4 linked regions of the Coturnix japonica genome follow. The protein of the gene in region 1 interacts with the protein of each later gene in a pairwise test. Links are inferred from orthologs where the notes say so. Each region holds a gene or a part of one and is shown in the gene's direction. Other genes may lie near its edges.

Region 1 (4,909 bases):
CTGTTTAAGCAATAGGGTGGCTACTTCTTCCTATGCTAATCTGTCCTCCACCCATCTGTCTTGTTTCTGGCTTTGACCTACCTAGAATTAACATTATAAGTACTTAATGAACCCTTAAATTACTTATTTGTGTAAGCTCAAAGCCTTAACTTTTAGCAAAACTTCATTTTGTATGTTACGTATGGAAATAGAAACTTTGCACTAAAGAAGTTGTTTCCACCCTGTGCAGAGAACAGAGATCAGACATGAAGCAAGGAGCTCTGGGTGAATTTCCATACAGCAGATAACCCCAACAGATCATAAATCCGCATGAAAACAAGTCTCAGACTGTAATTTCAGCTTTTAATAATAAAGTTAGCACTAGCAATACTTGTGATAGGCTGCTGTAAGTGTAAAATAAAACTACATGACAAGAGAATTGAAGTATGAGTATTTTTATTCAGCATATTGAACCTAGACCACCAGCAACTAAGGGCAAGTCAGCACTTTTTAAGCTTTTACATTAAAATACTCATGAACAAGCAACTTGGATCCATAAAACCAGTATGAGAGGAAGCACAAAACCAGTAATAGAAGTTAATCTGGTCCAATCTGCTGCAATGGAAAAAGCACATAGGGATGGTTTTCAGCAGTTTTCTTTTTCTTTTTTGTGGTCAGTTCCTCATAAACAGTTCTTAGGAAAACAGCACTGAAGTTGTTGCGGAGTATTCTTGTAATGTTTTCAGATTGAAAACTGCATACGAACATGTCCTAATTTCAAAGAGGAAATGCTTAGGAGCAAAACAAACATTGAAATGATGTGGAAACAATGTGGAAGCTGTGTTCTTTGTATTAGCAAACGGCAATCTTTCCCTTCTCATCTCGTTTGATCTGCATCGACTATGCTGTAATTTTGAGAAGGACTCATTGGTATTGCATAGTGCCGCTGCAATCATTGTTTATTGTGTTGCTGTTATATAATATTTTCTCTAGGCGTATACTTAACTCTGATCAGATTAACATATAGTAATGTGTTTATAGTCCCGGTGGGAAGTGGTTGTAACAAACACAGAGACAAAATGAACGCAGTAGCTCTTACAGAAGGCAAAACTACCTCAGAGCTCTGTGGTGGCAGAGGGTGTGATGGGAGAGCTAAGCAGAGCTGCAGGAATAACGTGCACCAGGATGCCTTGCTATCTAGTCCTACAAGTCACCTAGAAGAGATTCTCTTCCTGACTACGTGGTGTTGCATCCACATGCAGGACACCAGTCATGCCAGCGATCTCTAGATCTAGCTTTCAAGCTCCATCCCCTACCTGCAGTCAGGCTCTGGTTCAGGGGCATTATTTTCCTGCTAACCAGCCTAACGTTCGTGGAGCTGTATTGCTGTATTGCTGTATTGCTGTATTGCTGTATTGCTGTATTGCTGTATTGCTGTATTGCTGTATTGCTGCCGGCCTACAGGCCCTGTTGTTTCCCGAGCACCCTTCCCTCCTGCTCCACCTGCCCTTTCCAAGCGGCCTATATTTAGCTCCGTACTCGTGTCAGCACCGCCTCGGGTGCCACCCTCATTTCTCAGTCACGCATCGTGACGGCAAAAAAACAACACAAAACATAAATACAACCGTCCTGCATCACTCCACTCCGCGTCCGCCGCCTGTGACAGCTCGCCGGACGGTCTCGCGAGAGTGGCGAGCTCCGCCCCGCCCCGCGGCCCTCCCGCCGCCCCCGCCCGCCGCCGCGGCCGGATCCGTCCCCTCGTCGCTGCGCCCTGGGCGGTGGGACGGGACGGGGAGGGGAGGAAGCGAGAGGAAGGGGAAGGGAAGAAGAGGAAGGAGGGGGGCGCTCGGCCCTGCGCACTGAGCGATGTTTGTCCGCCATCGCGGCGGAGGAGGCGGGTGAAGGAAGCGTCGCCGCCGGAGCGAGGGCCCCGCGCCTCCGCCTCGCTTTCCGCCGCTCCCTCCGCTCCCTCCAACCCCCCGCGGCCCGGCCCGGTCCCTCCGCGCAGCCTCGGGGCCCGCAGCCCGCAGCGAACATCTCCGGCGGCCTCCCCCGCCCGGCCCCGGCCCCGCCGCCCCCCGCGCGTCCTCCGCGCCCCTCCCCAGGGGGGCGCCGCCGCCGCCGGCCCCGAAGATGTCGAACCTGAGCAAGGGGACGGGCAGCCGGAAGGACACCAAGATGCGGATCCGAGCCTTCCCCGTGAGTACCGGCCCCGACGGGCCTAGGCCGCCCGCGCCAGGCCCCGGCCTCCGCAGGCCTCGCGGCCTCACGCCCTGTCAGCCGTATGGGGGGGGCCCGGCCGGGCCGGCCGCGGGCCTGCGGGGGGCGGGCGGCTGTCAGCGGGTCGGGAGGCGACGGGAACCGGGAGCGGCGCTGCGAGTCCGCCGCCACTAAATGGTGGGGAACGGGGCTCCGCCGCCGGACCTGAGGCACCGCGGGGCGGGCAGCCCACGAGCGGCAGCGGGGAGGGGGGCGGCCGGCGGTTCTTTGTTTTCAAGGAAAAGGCCTCGGGGAAGGAGTGGAAGGTTACGCGGCTTCGTCCACAACGCCGGTTACCTCCGGAAGGGGGGCGGTATTCATTTGCGTCTTCCGGAGAGTTTCCTCGTCGAGAATTTATTTGACTCTCTATGCTGTGAAAGAGACTCTAAGTCGTACGGTTATGAGACTTAGGTGGCACAGTGCCAGTTGTTGCTGTAAACATGGGGCACAGGTAACTTCCATGTGTGTTGTGTAGGGCCGTGGAAATGCCATCCCTTGGATTGCGGATGGGAACGAGCCCAGTTATTAATTTATTCTGCCATAAAGCTTGCAGTGTTTTGACAGTTGGTTCAATTAAAGCTTAGAACAGAATAACAACTGTGGGACTGTTAATGGCGGTGAGGAATGAGGGACAGAAGAAAGCTTCGGTCTGCCTGAGGTTTGCCAGGAAGTGTGTGTGTGTGTGTGTGTGTGCATTCACCGATGTGTGTTAAAAAGAAGATACTTAGTTGAGTCACTGGCATGTGGGGCTTAGCGTAACTTTTTGATGTTACGCCTGATCCTGGTAGGTAGTAGGATAGAACTAATGAGCCCTGCCTTTAGAGAGAAGCCGGGCGTACCTGTTTTATCTTATTTACTGACAAGGAGTATATCAGTACATTTGCTTCATGAAAAACCTCGCTGATAAAGTTGGGGGATTCTCTGTCTTTTCAGCAGCTTCTTTACTCACAGTAATGTGACCGACTGCTTTCTTCTTCCCTCTACTTCTAATGGCCAACAGTTGCATTTAGTGGTAAAAGTCAAAACAAAGAAGGGTGCTGTGAAACTTAAGGCCTTTAGCTGGGCAGAGACTTTTGGTCTCCATATTGTGTATATTTCTTTCAACAGTCTTTTATAAGATTGTCAGTTTTGTGAGGATATTTTGACTTGTAGGAATAAAGTCTTATTGCAACATTGTCAGGGCTTTACTAACAAAAAGTAGGAAAAGCTTTACCAAAATTAACCATGACATAAATGTGTAAAAAATAGCCATCTTTTGACTTGATGAACAGATTCAAGGCCAGGCTGGACGGGGCCCTGGGCAACCTGATCTAGTAAAGGTGTATGTTTGGTGGCCCTGCCAGGCAGGGGGTTGGAACTACATGATCCTTGAGGTCCCTTCCAACCCGGGTCATTATGTGATTCTGTGAACAGATTCATTTATCACAACTGAATATGTGGATCTGTATTAGCCAGCAACAGCAAACTCAACAAATGAGATCAACTTTCCAAGTGATTCTTTTTCGGTGCTGTTACACATAAGCAAGTGAAATCAGGTTGGTGGCTGAAGGATGCTCACACAGAGCTCTGCTCTTACAGAAGTGTAAGCATTGCCATCACTTTTTTTCTTCTAAAACCATTCTTGTTCACGTTGTTTTTCTTTTCAGTTTAAATTAAAAGTTTACATTAAAAATCTAAACAAAACCCATCAAAGCTCCCTGAATTATTGCCTTCCTAAAATGCCAGTGAGTGCATATAGGCATATAAGCATCTTAAACGTTTGGTGATTTCTATTGACAGCAATTTTCCAGGTGTTTCATTCAGTGGATTTTCTTCTCTGAGACATTTTGTTGGCAATCCCGTTGATCAGGTGTTTATAGAGAAGAAACGTGTAGTTGGTTAAGAGATGTGGAGGGCTTTGCCTTGCACAGTTGCAGAAGGTAATAACTATTGTTAGGGTCCAGGTTACAATCTTAACACAGATTTTGCAGAGCCCCAAGTGTTTGTGTAGCTTTAGTCCTGTGAATGGTGCCAGCGACTGCAGTGGGATTACTCATGTCAGTGAGGTTACATCTGTGTGCGGGATAGAGTCTATATTTAGAATGTGTACTATTCCTACTTCAGTTATGGATCTTCACTCTTTTATCTCACATTTGGTGCTTCTGCTCTTCACTTCTGAATTAGAAGTGCCTTCAGAGGTGACTTTGTAGGCTTCTTCTGTTTTTCTTTGGTGCGGGTAGGTCTCCTTGTTCTGCTTTAGTTGGCTTTTCGTGCAGAGGTCTCTGCTGACTGTTGTGTGAGAGCTGAAGGAGCCAGATTGGTTGGGTAAGGTTCCTGGAACGTAGCAATATTATGGCAACTGAATCCACGTCGGTTCTGTCCCTTTTCATGTTTTTATATTTTATTTTTAGACTTCTCTGTCATTGTTATATCTTGCAATAACTGAAGGAGGGATCAAATAATATTTTACGGAATAATACAGCACGTGTTTTTAATTAGCAGTTCAGTAGAATTTCACAAACACCTTCTAAAACTACAAACGTTTTACCAAGTGATCTTAAAGTTTTGATATTTTTTCTAGATTCTTTATTGTTAATTTCTTGTAGTTATGGCAGGTCTCCTTTACTATTTACTACCTCCTGTTATGTGCCATGTACTCTTTCTCTTACCTCACACTGAGGTCTTTTCTTAC
Region 2 (4,800 bases), on another chromosome or scaffold:
CAGAAGAGGCATTGGATCAAACAGAATCCCATAAAAATCCAAATGCTATTCAAATGCCTTTTTTCATGGCTAGACTTGTAAGCTGTTTTGCCAAAAACAGGCAATTTGGCTGCAATCATTTTTGTTACAGCTGTATATGATTCCTTTCAGGTTCACTGAACTAGTGAAAGACATAACTGTAGAATAAATAAATAAATAAGTAAGATTCGTGTTCTGTTTGTGTTTGCTTTTGATGTTCTGCATCAAAAGTAACTTGTGCTAACATCAGACATTTGGCATAAAAGCCAAAATAACACTGGAACAAAATGACAGAAGTCAGAGTTCTGAAAGGCTTAATGTTCACTTAGGAATGAACATTATTTAGTAGCTCTGGCATAATAACAAGCAGCAGAACCTGCAGCTATGTGCCTACAGGACCTATATGGAAGTAGTGTGCAAAGCGTTCCCTCATCAGCTTCCAGACAAGTTTACAATGACTTCATGATCAGCATCTTGGATCCCTCAACATAGAGCAGTCTACTACTAGTAAGATTCACTTGGGTTTCATGGATAGCTATGAGTTAGGGGGCTTGCCTTATGAAGTAATGCATGCGCAAGTTTACCATGGGATACAGAAACATGAATGTGTGATGTGACGGTGACCAGCACTGCCCAACCTCCCATGGGCAGAACTGATGGGCTCAGACCTCACCAGCACCATGGAACAGGAACACAGGGATACTTCTAATGCTTCAGCTGAGCACGCACTCCTACAGCTGGTCCCTTTGGAGCTGACTGCCATGTAAGAGGGTTTTGTTTGTTTCAACTCTTTAACAAGCAGCTCATCTCCTCCAACACAATCCAGTGCCAGATCCGCTCATCTATTGAGACAAATTCAAGAGATGCAAAGCCCACACTTCATAAAAACAGCACCAACAGTAGTGATGATTTCATTTAGAAAATCCCCCTATGGAAATACATTTAATTTTTTCTTTAAGCGTTCCCAAATCAAACATCAATGTAGAGAACTTGAGAAGGAAAACAAGATTGCGTTTTCCAAGAAAGGAACATTCCTAGAGATTGGCAAACATTAAATTATAAATTAAAACGCACTTAGTTTAACATTTTATTAGCCTTAATAAGAAATCAACCTAAGTAGCTACTAGAACTAAAACCACAGAACTGTAGGAGTTGGAAGGGGCCTCCAGAGATCACGTAGCTTGTTTAAAAGAAAACAAGCCGGCAGCAGCATCCCCAGACAGACACGCCGCCCTTCTTCACCCAGCACCGCTCCCGGGGTGAGGCGCTTACTGGGCCCGGCTACCGCCCTCGGAGGACCGCAGCTCTCCGCACAGAGCTTACCGAGGGCCAGGCCCAAGCAAGCTCAGCCCCAGCCTCCCCCGAGGGACAGCATCAGCTCCGACATCCACCCGACACACACTCCCTTCCCACCCCGCTGCTGCTGACAGGTACCGCGGCCGCCGCCAGGTGCACCGCGCCGATCCCGCCGCCTCCACCACGTCTGCGCGCCGCTGCCCGGCCCTCCGGCGGGCGGGGCCCCGGAAGTGGGCAGTGCCGGCGGCTCCCGGCGGGCCGGAGGGCAGCGGGGCTCTGCCGGGCGGGCGCAGCCGGCACCCGGCAGCGGCTGGCATGGTGTTGGCGGCAGCGCGCGGCGCCCGCGTTACCCGGAGGAAAGCCGAACGGAGCCGCCATGGAGATGTTGCTGCCGCCCGTGTGAGTGTGGCGGGCGAGCGGGCTGCGAGGCGCCGTGCCGCGGGTTAAGGGCGCGGGGTCGGGCCCGGGCGCCAGCGGGGGACGGGGGACCGGCGGCGGAGCTCAGCGGGCCCATTGGGCCACGCAATGAGGGCTGGGGGCTGCGGGCGGGCCTCGCGCTAGTTAGCTACGGGGGATTTAGGTTGGTTTTTTTTTCCCCTTTTTCTATTTTTTTTTTTTTTTTCCGTCTGATTTTTCCATATGCCCTCCCGTTCGCTCCCTGTTTGAGTCAGCGGCCGCGCAGCTGTGCGGGAGACGAGGAAGGGAGCGCGGTGCTTCGGGCCTCTCCCGGCCTGGCGGGGCTGCGCTGCTTCCCAGCCGCCCTCCGACAGAGCGTGGGGGAGAGCGGCTCCGGGCTCCTGGGCAGGTCTTGTGTTCAGCGCCGCTCCGTGCACACCTGTGTGTCACACACGTACAGCGTGTGAGTCCGGATGGGTCCGTCCGGCACCCGCTGTACTCCTGGGGATGGAAGGAGGTACGGCGTCCTCAGACTTGATAATTCGGCGGTTTAATTAGTGCAGGGCTCTGCCATCCCGTTAGTCGGCAGTGCTTTGAACTGGTGTGATCTGTGTCGTTTTTTGAATGCTCATCGCTGTATATGTTGCAGAATTCAATAGAATAGCAATCTAAAGGAGTATACCAGGTAGCATCTTTTTTCCCCTCTGCACAGAAGCTCATGTATGTGCTCTTTGGTTTGTGACCTGGCTCCTTTTGGCCACGAGCTGTATCATTCTCACGACTGAGCAAGAAACTTAGCATTGCAGTGCCATGGTACAGCGCAGTAAGTGGCGACTAGTTTCAGTTCCATGGAGGGATCTTACTTTGCTGTCCATTCTTAGTGGAGAATTCACATTCCTTTGCTGCCTGGTGTGGTTTTCTGCTGTTTTACTCCAAAATTTTGTAGCCAGTTTTTGAATAATGAGGAGTAAAGCCTGCCTGTTGGCTTTAGAGGTTGTTGTAAGGCACAGGGTATAGAGGTCCAAGTTAAAGTCTTAAATTTATTATCTGTGATGTTTACTTCTAAGGTTCCTTAGACATACTTGAATAGAAACTTTTAGGTAGGATGGAAGAGTGTCCAGATGTGGAATCACAGTGCAGGAGAGACACATGTGGACCTGTTGAAGTGCGGCCAGAGGAGGACCGTGAAAGTGATACCAGGGATGGAACACATCCCTTACAAGGACAGGCTGAGAAAGCTGGGGCTTTTCAGGCTGGAGAAGGGAAGGCTATGAGGTGAACTGAGAGCAGCCTGCCGGTATCTAAAGGGGAGGGCAATGAGAAGGAAGGGGGCAGACTCTTCAGCAGAATCTGATTTGGTAGGACTAGGGAAAATGGTTTCAAACTAAGAGAGGCTAGATTTTAAGTTGGATGTAAGGTGGTTTTTAATTTATTTATCTATGTATTTATTTTATGGTAAGTGTAGTGAAGTACTGGTACAGGTTGCCTGAAGGTGTGGTGGATGGAGCTCTGAGCAGCCTGATCTAACTGTAGGTATACCTGATCATTGCAGGAGAGTTGGACTAGATGACCTTTAAAGGTATCTTCCAAATCAAATGATTCCATGATAAGGGGGGTTGGAATTCTGGGTGTCAATGCATATGCTAAGTTTGGTTCTTGCTCAACTCAGCTAAGTCAGGTTTTTATCCGAAATGATAATGATGAAAGCAGACCCCTGATGCGCCAGGGTTGGTTGCCCCACCACTACTGACTGCAGTGGCCAAACGTGTTTTGCTTATGTCCAGTTTGGAATAAAGCTATGATAGTGTAAGTGGACTCATTATTGATGCTACGTGTTTTCTAAGTAGGCTAATAAGGTAATTTGCATTTTGATTGTAAACTCATTGTAAACTCATTGCCTGGGATTGAAAAATGTGCTTGCTATTTGGACAGTTTGATGTAATTGTTTTCCTATAGAACTTAGTATCTAGAATTTAACTATCTCTTAATATGAGTTAGTTGTAGGTAAAGCGAGTGATTTAGCTGCTAGGTTTTTCTTCTTGCAGTCTTGGTACTGTTTTTGGATGTAAGAAGAACTAAGAAGCTGGTCACTTTTGCTTTTTGGTACAACAAATGGGTAAGCAAAATCATTCTGCTAGGGAAAGCCTGAAGAATTAAAGCAGTCATCATGCAGCCTTCCTGTCAGAGAAGATGACCTGGAAGCTGTGTGAAACAGTAAGCAAGATTCTGGTGGCCATACAGAGCTTAGCTCTGTTTTTGCAAGTGGTCAAGGCTTTGAGAGATCAAACTGCTGGAATATGTTCTGCCTGTCAGTACTGGTGGTAGACTAGAAGTTACTGGAGTGCTGCTTCTATCCTCATTTCAGTATGTATTAGAAGTATTCTAGGGCATTTGTTTGTGTATTTTCCACATTGGAGCTTATTGTTAGCCCTGAAAGCTTCTGTAAACCTTACTAGTTACAATAAGCCTTACTAGCTTATTATTAGGTAGATAATCTTACCTGCTTCTCTTTTCATCATGTGCTGTTGGTAAAAGGGAAACCAAAATTGTCTGGAGTAAAGAATAAACTGAAATGCAAGTCCCATTCACACTCACCAATGATAAAGATGGCAAGAACAGAGTGATAGTCTGAGGGAGTAGGAATATTAACCTTTTAACTTTTTTTAAACTTCTTTTTAAATCTTCTTTTTTTTCTTTTTCCCCAGATGCACCAAACTTTGCCATCAGAAGCCTTTGGATTTGAAAGATGATAACACTGAAATTCACTGTCCTGTTACAGTGAATCCATGGCACATGAAGAAAGCTTTTAAAGTTATGAATGAGTTAAGAAGGTATTAATTCACTGTATACACCTGCCTAGAGTCTGTAAACCAGGTTTAGTTTCAATTACATTTATGAAGTTCTAAAAATGGAACATGGAATTCCTGAAGTGTAGCTGAGAAGAAAGACTATTATTCAGCTGTCACTTCATTGTATATATAATCAAGTGATCATAGTTGTGATGGATGCAGTATGTTTCTACTCTTCGTAAGTTAATTGCAACTAGGTTTCTGCGGCTTGAAAAATGCATAGAGGATATATTTAATGAGA
Region 3 (4,639 bases), on another chromosome or scaffold:
CATGCAGTGCTGTGCTCTTCATTTGCTGCAGGCACCACAGTCTGCTCAGAGACACTGGGGGGAAGAGAGCCCGGCCTGAGCTCTGCTTTGTTCTGCGCCTGCAATAGCCTCTCCCTCTTTGGAGAATGAAATATTAAAGAGGTTTTGGGAATGATCAAACCCTTCAGCTTCACTACTGTGATTAATCAATCACAGCTGTTGTTTTCCTGCTCTGTATTTTGAGGCATTTCGGATTGCTCTGTAATTAGCCCAGTTCAGGGCCAGTAAACACATTCCTCAGCCCTGGCAGTGCACTGGGATGGAGAAAAACTGAATTTTCCAGTGTTGTGCTTTGGTCTGAGCCAGGGCTGTCCGAACCTATCAGGGAGAGCTATGGGGAGCTCTGCCTCTTTGCTTGGCACCAAGAAGGGCAGTGCAGCACCACTCACATTCACTGCTATCATCTGCAAAGCAAGTTCTGCTTGGAGGAAGCTTTGTTGGAGGAATGGGTCAGGGGGGGTGGCAGAAAGGAAGAGATTTAAGGAATCTCCATTCCTTGAATGGCAGCTGTGTCACTGCAACCAGTGTCTGACCTGCACCTCTCAGCAGGTGGCAACTTGGAGGAGTTCGTGTCAGTTTTGGATGCTTAGATACATGGCTTAATAACCAAGGATGCTGACTTTTTAAGGCTTAAAGATGCTAAGGAGCATTTGCAGCTAAAGAGCCAGACAGGATCAGGAAGCATCACGGTCCTCTGGGTGATTTAAAGACCATCTCACGCTGAAGTGAATGTTCCAGACACCCAGCACAGCAGTGTGGCTCAGCCTGATTCTTGCACAACCCAAATCCATTGGTTTGGAAAACCTCTGCCCCACCTTTGTGAGTAGTTCCATCCTACTGTGCCAAGGGAATGTGCTTGTAGCTCCTTGAGGCATCCCATGCAGAAATGAGAATCGTGCTGCTGAGTGTCACTATAATGTCGTTGTTGTGTCTGAGGAGATCTGGTTTTAAACATAAATCAAAATAGTAACAGATTTCTGATATTTTGTGCGTGTGTTTCTTAAGTCTCCAAATTAATTGGCCTATGGAACACAAAAGGAATTATCACAGCATCAAAGAGAATATTTATGAGCTGCTGAGAAGGCAGAGGGATAAGCAGCTGTCTGAGGACTATCCTCAGCTCTCTGATCCTCTCCCAAACCAAACAGGTGGGGCTCAGTCAGACAAAGCTGCAGGAAGGGGCTGTGAGCATCCAGCACCCACCAGGCATCACCCACGGGCCCCAGCAGGGCCAAGGGCAGCTCCTGGCCCTTACTGCAGCTGCTTCAGCTGGGACTCACGTGCAGGCACAGGCGGTGCTGCCAAGTCTGCTGAACGGGGACAGAAACACTCGGTGGAACTCAGCCAGTCCTCAGCATCTTTTTAATGCTGGGAGCAGAAAGGAGGGCGGAGAGACGGCGTCTCGGAGGCCTTGTGTTGGCAGAAGAAAGATGCAGGAGATTGTGCCTGTGTTCTCCATGGTGCTCGGGTTGTTCAACCTGAGCTGTGAGCTGGGTGTGCCTGAAAGATGCTCCTCACAAAGGAATGAATGCCCACTTTGTTTTCCAGGTTACCTGGTTCAAAGAGCTCTGTTTAGTGTAAGCCTGGCTATGGATTACAGACTTCCAGACCTGTGTGCATGATGCTGCATTAGGTACTGTCCTCTCATTGCATGTGGTTTGAAGGGCTCTGCATCCCCTTTGTTTCTCCATCCCCCATTTGTTGCCACCGTTGCTGGCCTCGAGCATATGTTCTTTGGTTTCAGCATTGTGTCAGCCCTGCCTAAAGGAACCTGTGACAGCTCTTGGTCTGGGGATGAACCCATCCCCTTGATAACTGCTCTCCTCTGGTTACTGCTCCGGGAAGCTCCCGATGGTCTCAGGAGCTCGAGCTGGAGGGAGGCTGTCGGGGCCAGCGCAGCCTTGCAGAGCACCACGGAGCCAATCGCTGCTGCTAGGGGTGGAGCTGGAGCTCCAGCAGATGAAACCGAGTGCCTTTCCAGCACAGTTGGTCTGGGCGACTGAGAGATCTGTTCGTGGGGAGAGGAGAGCTGGGACTGCGGCTCCAACGCGCTCCCATCCCGGCAGCACCGCAGGAGCAGCCGTTCCCCTCTGCACATCGGCGACACGAAGGTACCGCCCCTCCTCTCTCTCGGCTCTTGTGCTGCTTGTTGCTTGATTGCTGCTTAGAGTTGGAGCAAAGTTTACGGGGGAATCAGCGCTGTGCAGTCACAGCGCCCGTCTGAACGCGGTGGGAGGGATGCACGGTGATGCTGGGATGCGGTACCAGGTGTACCGAGGTAGCTGGGGTAGTTTTGATGCTGCTTCTGAGCCATAACCTGCATGCGAGGCCCACCAGCACTGCTGTGCTTCCCTCAATGCTGTGCCAGGGGTCAGAAGTGGCCGGCGTGCATTGTGTGTGACCCAGAGCCTGTTGGGTGCCAGGTTGCTCTCCAGTGATGCTATGGAGCAAAACATCCACCTGTTTGCAGGTGACCGGAATTGAGTTGGTGCCTTGGTGGGGACTTTGTCCATCCTGCATTGGTTGGTCTGCAGAAATAAGGGCTGCTTTTACTGAGTGGGCTTTGCGCAGGCAAAAGCAAGCTCCTCGGACTGCAGACTTGATGCAGGAAAGCAGCATTTGTCTCTGCTGCTCTTAAAGTTTGGAGAACTTGCCAGGCCAGCACTGCTTTGAGTGCAAAAGCAGGTTTTGGGGAGGTAAATGAGCAGTGGGACGGCCGCCCCTGGCCTGTCCTGAGCCGGGCACTGCTGAAGAACCAGCAGGGAAAGCCGCAGCAAAATTGCAGCAATGGCTGGTGAGGGGGGCTTGGTTTTTGCTCTCCTGGGTTCAGCTGACCCCACGTGTTGCACTGGAGCTGTCTGCAGGTCTAAGCCTCAGGACAGCTGTCCTCATGCACCATGAGCGCTGCCATTTGAGCTGCCTACGAGTTCTCTTGTAATGACTCTTGGGACATCTGAATTGTTGGTGATCCCTATCCATGGACTGGTAGCACCTGACCAGGAATGTGCCCTAGTGCTGCCCTTCAGGCAGCCACATGCTCCTTTTCCATCCCCTGGTAGTACTGGAGTGACCTTAGTGTGCGTGACTGGGTGCAGAACAAGGTTTTGCAAAGCCTGGAGTAGGGCAGTTCAAAACCCACAGTTTGCATTTTCTGCAGATATTGTGCTGTTGGCTCTCACACGAGCACATGCTGTCTGACTGCAAAACACAAACGGGAGGCTCTGAGCCATGGGGTGCAGGGCAGGAGGGGTTCAGTGCAGGGGAAAGGAGCACTGAGTGGGGGTCTCCTTCTGCTATCCCTGCTACTGCAATAGACAGTTCCGTAAGAGGTATTTTGATAAAGGTTGCTAGACGGTGACTCATCTCCCATAGGAAGGGACAGGAAGGAGGAGAAGTGCAGGAGCATTGTAGGGTGAGATTGGAAAATGGGTCTCCCCACAGTGTTTGATCAGAAGCAATAAGAGTGGAAGCTCTGCCCCCCCAGAGGAGAAGACCCATCAGTCAGAAACCTCTTGATCTCGGTGCCCCTGCACCTGCTCCGCTGCCTTCTGCATCCCTCTCCCTGGGGTGGATGTTGCCCAAAACACGACTTGATTTCTTCTGATCAGTCTTAGTCACTTCTGAGTCACTCCGAGTAATTAATCCTTACTCCTGCATAACAGTTAGTGCTTCTATCTGTACCTGCCCAACCTGGGTGTTTTCAGAAGTCACTTCTCTTTGCTCCGTGCTGCTCTGCTGTAACTTTCCTCCCAATCCTCCCTCTGGTTTTCCTGCTCTCCCCTGCTCTTCCTGCTGTGCTGGAGCCATGAAGAGCCCAGAAGAGCTGGAGTGCTGCACCTCTGCTTTCTCAGGTGTGCTGCAGAGCACATCCATCCACCCAACAGGTTTTCTTAACAATTCAGTGTTGCTGCCTGACCACAAACCATTCTTGGAAAGGTTTGCTCTGTGTAGATGTTTTGTTGATGCCTGCCTGTTGATACCCATTTGCAGTGGGTTTACTGCGACTGCTGACCCCCGCTGATGTGACACTTCCATCTGGTTCATGCACAATTGGAAGCATTGGTGCCCAGACCATTATCATTGTGGGTTTACCTTCCAACTGCTTTGGTGCACAGAGAGGCCAGCACTTCCAGGTCTTGTCTGAGTGCTGTGCCGTATCTGGGTTATGCTCCCAAGGAGCACAGTGGGACATGAAACCCAGAACCACATTGAGACATCAGAAGTGGGCCAATTTCTAGGCCAAAACCTGGTCGCAGATGCTCCCAAGGGTGGATTTGGGTACAGAAATGGGTTGGTACAGATTTGGGTACATTTCAGGGGGCCAGTCTCCCTCCATTGCACAGTGCTGAGTGCAGAGGCAGTTGTCTTCCTGATGGCACCGCATGCAAGTGCAGTTATTCCTTTACAACATGTGCAAAATGCCCTTTTCTGGCAGGTGCAGGAGCTGCAGGGTGTGGAAGGACCCATCCTGGGAACAGCAGCAGCTTCAGGAAACAGGGGAAGGTTTCCCCCCATGCCACGCTGCCACCTCTGCAGTGAGATTTACTGTATTTGCATCTACAGGGGAAGGTTTAGCAGAGCCAGGTGTTGGTTTAGCAGC
Region 4 (4,595 bases), on another chromosome or scaffold:
TTGATGGGCACAGCTATGGGTCTTGCCTAGGGAAATGCTCCAGGGTGCCCCCAAAACCAGTGTTGGGGACCCACAATCCTACTGGGATCTCCCCAGCTCTTCCCATCTCCCCCCATCCCAACTGTTTGCTCCTATCTCAGCAGGCAGCTCCCAAACCCGCTGCTATCCCCACTCAAATCCACATTACTGGACCCAATGGGTGCTGCCATGAACCCACCCCAACTCCTTCCAGCACAGCAGCGGGCACCCAGTGCCATTACCCCACAGTGACCCCAACTTAGAGCTATCAGGGGACACAGAGCCCCCATGTCTGCCCCCCAACACACAAAGGAAAGCTGCTTGGTGCCCAAAACCCCCCCTGTCCTCCCACCTACCGCTCCGTGTCCTGCTGTGTTTCTATTCCCAGAGCCTGGCACAGCCCCAGCCCCACTGCCCGGCCCCTTGGCAGCGCTGACCCCAGAGCTGTGCCAACACAGCACCGCATGGGGCAGCTTACAGAGGCTGGAACCCCACAGAACCAACCCCAGAACAGCTGGGCCACGAGCAAACCCTATAGATCACACATTATCCAGCCCTATGGCAGGGTTCAGTGACCCAGCAGCACTCCAGGAGTGTAACCTCCATGCTGGATCACCCCTATACCCTCCTCCTGTGCACCCCACAAACACCTACAGCCCATCGCTCCATTAGCTCCCTGCTTTCCCATTGACTCACCAGCTGGTCCCACTGACTCAGCCCTGCAGGCTGTGCTCATTTCCCTGCTCCTGTGGTTCCCATTGACTCACCAGCACTTCTCCCAAGCTCATCCTTTCCATTCCCATCCTGTCACCCTTAGGCATTTATCACATCCATGCCTTCCTTCTGCCCAGCACCATCAACAACACCGAGTGCATCCCCTCCATCACCCCCATGGGTGCGAAAGGTTGCAGGGAGAGTTTGGGGGAGCAAAGGGTTGCCTTCATCTCTCACTCTGAGCACCATCTGCTGTGTTATCTTTGCAGATATTGCATGTACTTTGCAGAAGGAGCATGCACTTGGCAGAAATAACATGCATGGTGCACAACTTGCATCTACGCAACGTCTCCAATGCATTCCCCCATGCATTTCTCCATCTCTGCTCTCCAACTCCAACGTGGAAACTTAAAGATGAGGTCAAACGACCATTCAAAGCATCTGGAAATGGGAAAGTTTGCATTTTCCCCTTTGCTTTTTCCCTTTAGGAGCCGTATAAAGCACGTCTCAACGTGCATCGTGCAGCGGCGCACCCAGAGAGTGGAAAATTCCTGCCCGGGTGCTGAGCGCGGATTGTGGTCCAACAGGTTTTGTTTGAGCTCCGGCCCCTCCGGTTGTGTCAGTGCATGAAAAAAAAACCTCATCCCTGGGGCATTAGTTGGGATCACATGGGTGAGCGTATAAAAATGATCCCTATTGGGACGGGGAAACTCGCTGCTGGAAGAGCCAGGGCACAACCGCCAGCGCCCGGACACACACAGGTAACCGCTGTCTGTCTGTCTGTCCATCCATCTATCTGCTCATTTATCCATCTGTCTGCCCTCCCATCCGTCTCTCTGTCTGTCCAGCTGTCTGTCTGCCCGTCCATCCAATTTAGCTCCAATAGAGTCTTGGCCAACTCAATGGGTTTTCACCTTTCTTTAGGGACGGAGCAGTAGGGTTGGAGATGGGTGGGTGGGCTGTGCTGGGTGGGTTTGGAGTCTCCCCACTGTCCTGCATCGCTGCTGTGGGGTTCTGTGATCCCAGGAGTTTGCTCCAATGCTTTGTAGCACCTCATCCTATGGTCTCCATTTTATGGTCTCCAACTCGTGGTCTTCATTTTATGGTATCTGTCTCGTGGTCTCCATAAGATGGTCTCCAATTTATGGTCTCCATCTTGTGGTCTCCATTTTATGGTCTCCATCTCGTGGTCTCTATTTTATGGTCTCCATCTTGTGGTCTCCATTTTATGGTCTCCATCTCGTGGTCTCTATTTTATGGTCTCCATCTTGTGGTCTCCATGTTATGACCTCCATTTCATGGTCTCCATCTTGTGGTATCCATCTCTTGGTCTCCATTTTATGGTCTCCATCTCCTGGTTTCCATTTTATAGCCTTTATCTCACAGTGTCCATCTTCTAGTTTCCATTTTATGATCTCCATCTCATGGTCTCCATGTTACGGCCTCCACCTTGTGGTATCCGTCTCAGGGTCTCCACTTTATGGCCTCCATTCTATGGTCTCCATCTCATTATCTCCATTTTATGGCCTTCACCTTTCTGTGTCCATCTCATAGTCTCCATACTACGACCTCCATCTCATGGTCTCCATTCTGTGACCTCCATCTCATGGTCTCTATTTTATGGCCTTCACCTTTCTGTGTCCATCTCATGGTCTCCATTCTATTACCTCCAACTCATAGTCTCCATTTTATGACCTCCATCTCATGGTCTCAATTTTATGACCTCCATCTCATGGTCTCAATTTTATGACCTCCATCTCATGGTCTCTATTTTATGCCCTTCACTTTTTGGTGTCCATCTCAGAGTCTCCATTTTATGGTCTCCATTCTATGGTCTCCATCTCATGATCTCTATTTTATGGCCTTCACCTTTCGGTGTCCATTTCATAGTCTCCATACTATGACCTCCATCTCATGATCTCTATTTTATGGCCTCCATCTCATGGTCTCCATTCTATGCCCTCCATCTCACGGTCTCCACTCTACGGTCTCCATCTCACAGTCTCCACCTCATGGTCTCCATCTCTACCAGAGGCTGTTGCTTAGGAACAGGCTCCTTCCTTTCTGATTTTCTCCTATCTGTTTTTAATGCAGAAACGTGCAGCCCCCCCCGTGCCCTTAGCCACGCTCTTGGGGGTGCATTTAGGATGTAACCAACGCGTGTTGGTGCAGCAGATTTGGGATGTGGGAGCCCTTCTTGTGGGGTTTCACCCCATTGCAAGCTGCATCAACATCCCCAAATACACCTCAAGAACAGACTCCCTGAGGCTGTTCCCTGGGTTGGGGGGGTTTGTTTGGTGATGTTATGGGTTTATTTTGCACTGTGTGAGGAGGAATGGGAAGCAGAGAAGCCACAGGACCCAAATAGAAGCTCTTAACAGCTTCTGCACGAGGCGTCAGCGGCTCTTAATGCTGGAGGGGATGGGGAGGGCTCTATAATAAACCTGTGCCTATAAATGGCCCCAAATGTGGGGCAGGGGGAGGCAGCAGGACGGGCACATCAACAACACCTCAAAGCTATGGGATGCATTATCCACACAGCAGCACTTTGACCAGTCAGACAACGCCCCACCGCTGTAGGGTGCAAATATCCTTCAGCAGGACCTTGCATGTTGCTTTGCTTTGCTTCCTGGTTGCAAAAGATGCACCCGGAGAGCACCGCCAGCTGCAGGCTGGGGCGAAGGGGGAGGTTTATGGGTTGCATAAGGCTTTCCCTGGAGGGCAGCGATCCCTTTGGGTTTAAATGCTTATAAACCACGTAGTAAAGGGCTGATATCCTGCAGCACAGCGATGGGATGAGCTCCAAGCCACAGGTTATTGGTGGGGCTGGGAGATGGGATCCAGATGGGCCATTTACAGTCTGGATATGGAGAATTGATTCCTGGGAACCCTCAGCTTAGAAGGACAGAGGATGCAATTTGCAGAAAGGCTCTTTTTGCTCATTTTAAACCCTAGAAACAAGGGGTTGGAAATCCTTGGGGCATTCCCTTTGGGCAAGCAGAGCCCTGTAGCCACAAGCTGCATGATTGGGGCTGATTCCAAACAGTGATTCCAATCTGGCAACGCAGCAGCGTTTCCTGCTCCCTGTGCCAAGAGCAAAGCTCAGCCTCACCCCCAGCTCTGCCCTCTTGCAATCCTCACTCACAGCTCGGGTGTTGGGATGTAGGGGCAGCAGGGGAGATGCTTTAGGTGAGAGACCCCCCTCCATCCCCACAGCACCCTTGTATCACCATGCCATGGCTTCAGGCTTTGTGCTGAGGGTGAATGGATTCCAGCGTGCTGGTGGTGAATGGATTCACTTACCCCTCCTCTCCTCCCATTGCAGGCACTGCTGAGAGCACGACATGGACCCCAAAGGGAAGGGCAGCCCCACGGTGACAATGACAGCCTTGGCACGCAGCCTGTAAGTACTGTGCCCCCCTTCCAACCCCCCCATTGCCTGCACAGCCATGCTTTGTTCTTTGCTCCCGTGCAACTCGTGCCACCCTGCTGCAGGAGGGCACAGCTCGGCTGGGTGCTGCCTGCAGCAAAGGGAAATGGTTGGGACCTTTTGCAATGCGGTGCAAATAAGGGTGCAGATCTCCAGCCCTACAGAGCACATAGGGTCATAGGGGTGCTGATTTCCAGCCCCATGGGGTCATAGGGGTGATGATCCCCAGCCCTACAGAGCCCATAAGGTTGTAGGGTTGCTGATCTCCGGACCTACAGTACCTACGGGGTTATGGGGGTGAGGATCTCCAGCCCTACATCTCTGTCTGTGGGGTTCCATCCGTGGGGCTCCATCTATAGGGCTCCATCCATAGGGCTCAATCCATAGGGCTCCATCCATGTGGCTCCATCCACAGGGCTCCATCTATAGGAAT

Evidence for each region.
Region 2: the proteins of CUL3 (region 1) and KLHL2 interact in binary tests that used the Homo sapiens proteins (3 or more experiments, as listed by UniProt). The two-hybrid records come from large-scale screens. The link is inferred for Coturnix japonica from reciprocal best matches to the Homo sapiens genes CUL3 and KLHL2.
Region 3: the proteins of CUL3 (region 1) and ZMAT4 interact in binary tests that used the Homo sapiens proteins (3 or more experiments, as listed by UniProt). The two-hybrid records come from large-scale screens. The link is inferred for Coturnix japonica from reciprocal best matches to the Homo sapiens genes CUL3 and ZMAT4.
Region 4: the proteins of CUL3 (region 1) and RHOBTB2 interact in a two-hybrid assay, tested with the Homo sapiens proteins (2 studies listed by BioGRID). The link is inferred for Coturnix japonica from reciprocal best matches to the Homo sapiens genes CUL3 and RHOBTB2.

What each region holds. Positions count from the first base shown.
Region 1 is NC_029524.1:7,002,312-7,007,220, reverse strand, and holds the start of CUL3 (cullin-3), read left to right. Parts: upstream 1-1,702; 5' UTR 1,703-2,112; coding exon 2,113-2,178; intron 2,179-4,909. UniProt on the Homo sapiens protein: Core component of multiple cullin-RING-based BCR (BTB-CUL3-RBX1) E3 ubiquitin-protein ligase complexes which mediate the ubiquitination and subsequent proteasomal degradation of target proteins.
Region 2 is NC_029519.1:20,901,051-20,905,850, forward strand, and holds the start of KLHL2 (kelch-like protein 2), read left to right. Parts: upstream 1-1,546; 5' UTR 1,547-1,690; coding exon 1,691-1,713; intron 1,714-4,415; coding exon 4,416-4,541; intron 4,542-4,800. UniProt on the Homo sapiens protein: Substrate-specific adapter of a BCR (BTB-CUL3-RBX1) E3 ubiquitin ligase complex that mediates the ubiquitination of target proteins, such as NPTXR, WNK1, WNK3 and WNK4, leading most often to their proteasomal degradation.
Region 3 is NC_029537.1:3,915,289-3,919,927, reverse strand, and holds the start of ZMAT4 (zinc finger matrin-type protein 4), read left to right. Parts: upstream 1-1,445; 5' UTR 1,446-2,150; intron 2,151-4,639.
Region 4 is NC_029537.1:2,428,695-2,433,289, reverse strand, and holds the start of RHOBTB2 (rho-related BTB domain-containing protein 2), read left to right. Parts: upstream 1-1,378; 5' UTR 1,379-1,493; intron 1,494-3,867; exon of another isoform or gene 3,868-3,921; intron 3,922-4,057; 5' UTR 4,058-4,076; coding exon 4,077-4,135; intron 4,136-4,595. UniProt on the Homo sapiens protein: Regulator of cell proliferation and apoptosis. It likely functions as a substrate-adapter that recruits key substrates, e.g. MSI2, to CUL3-based ubiquitin ligase complexes for degradation. Required for MSI2 ubiquitination and degradation.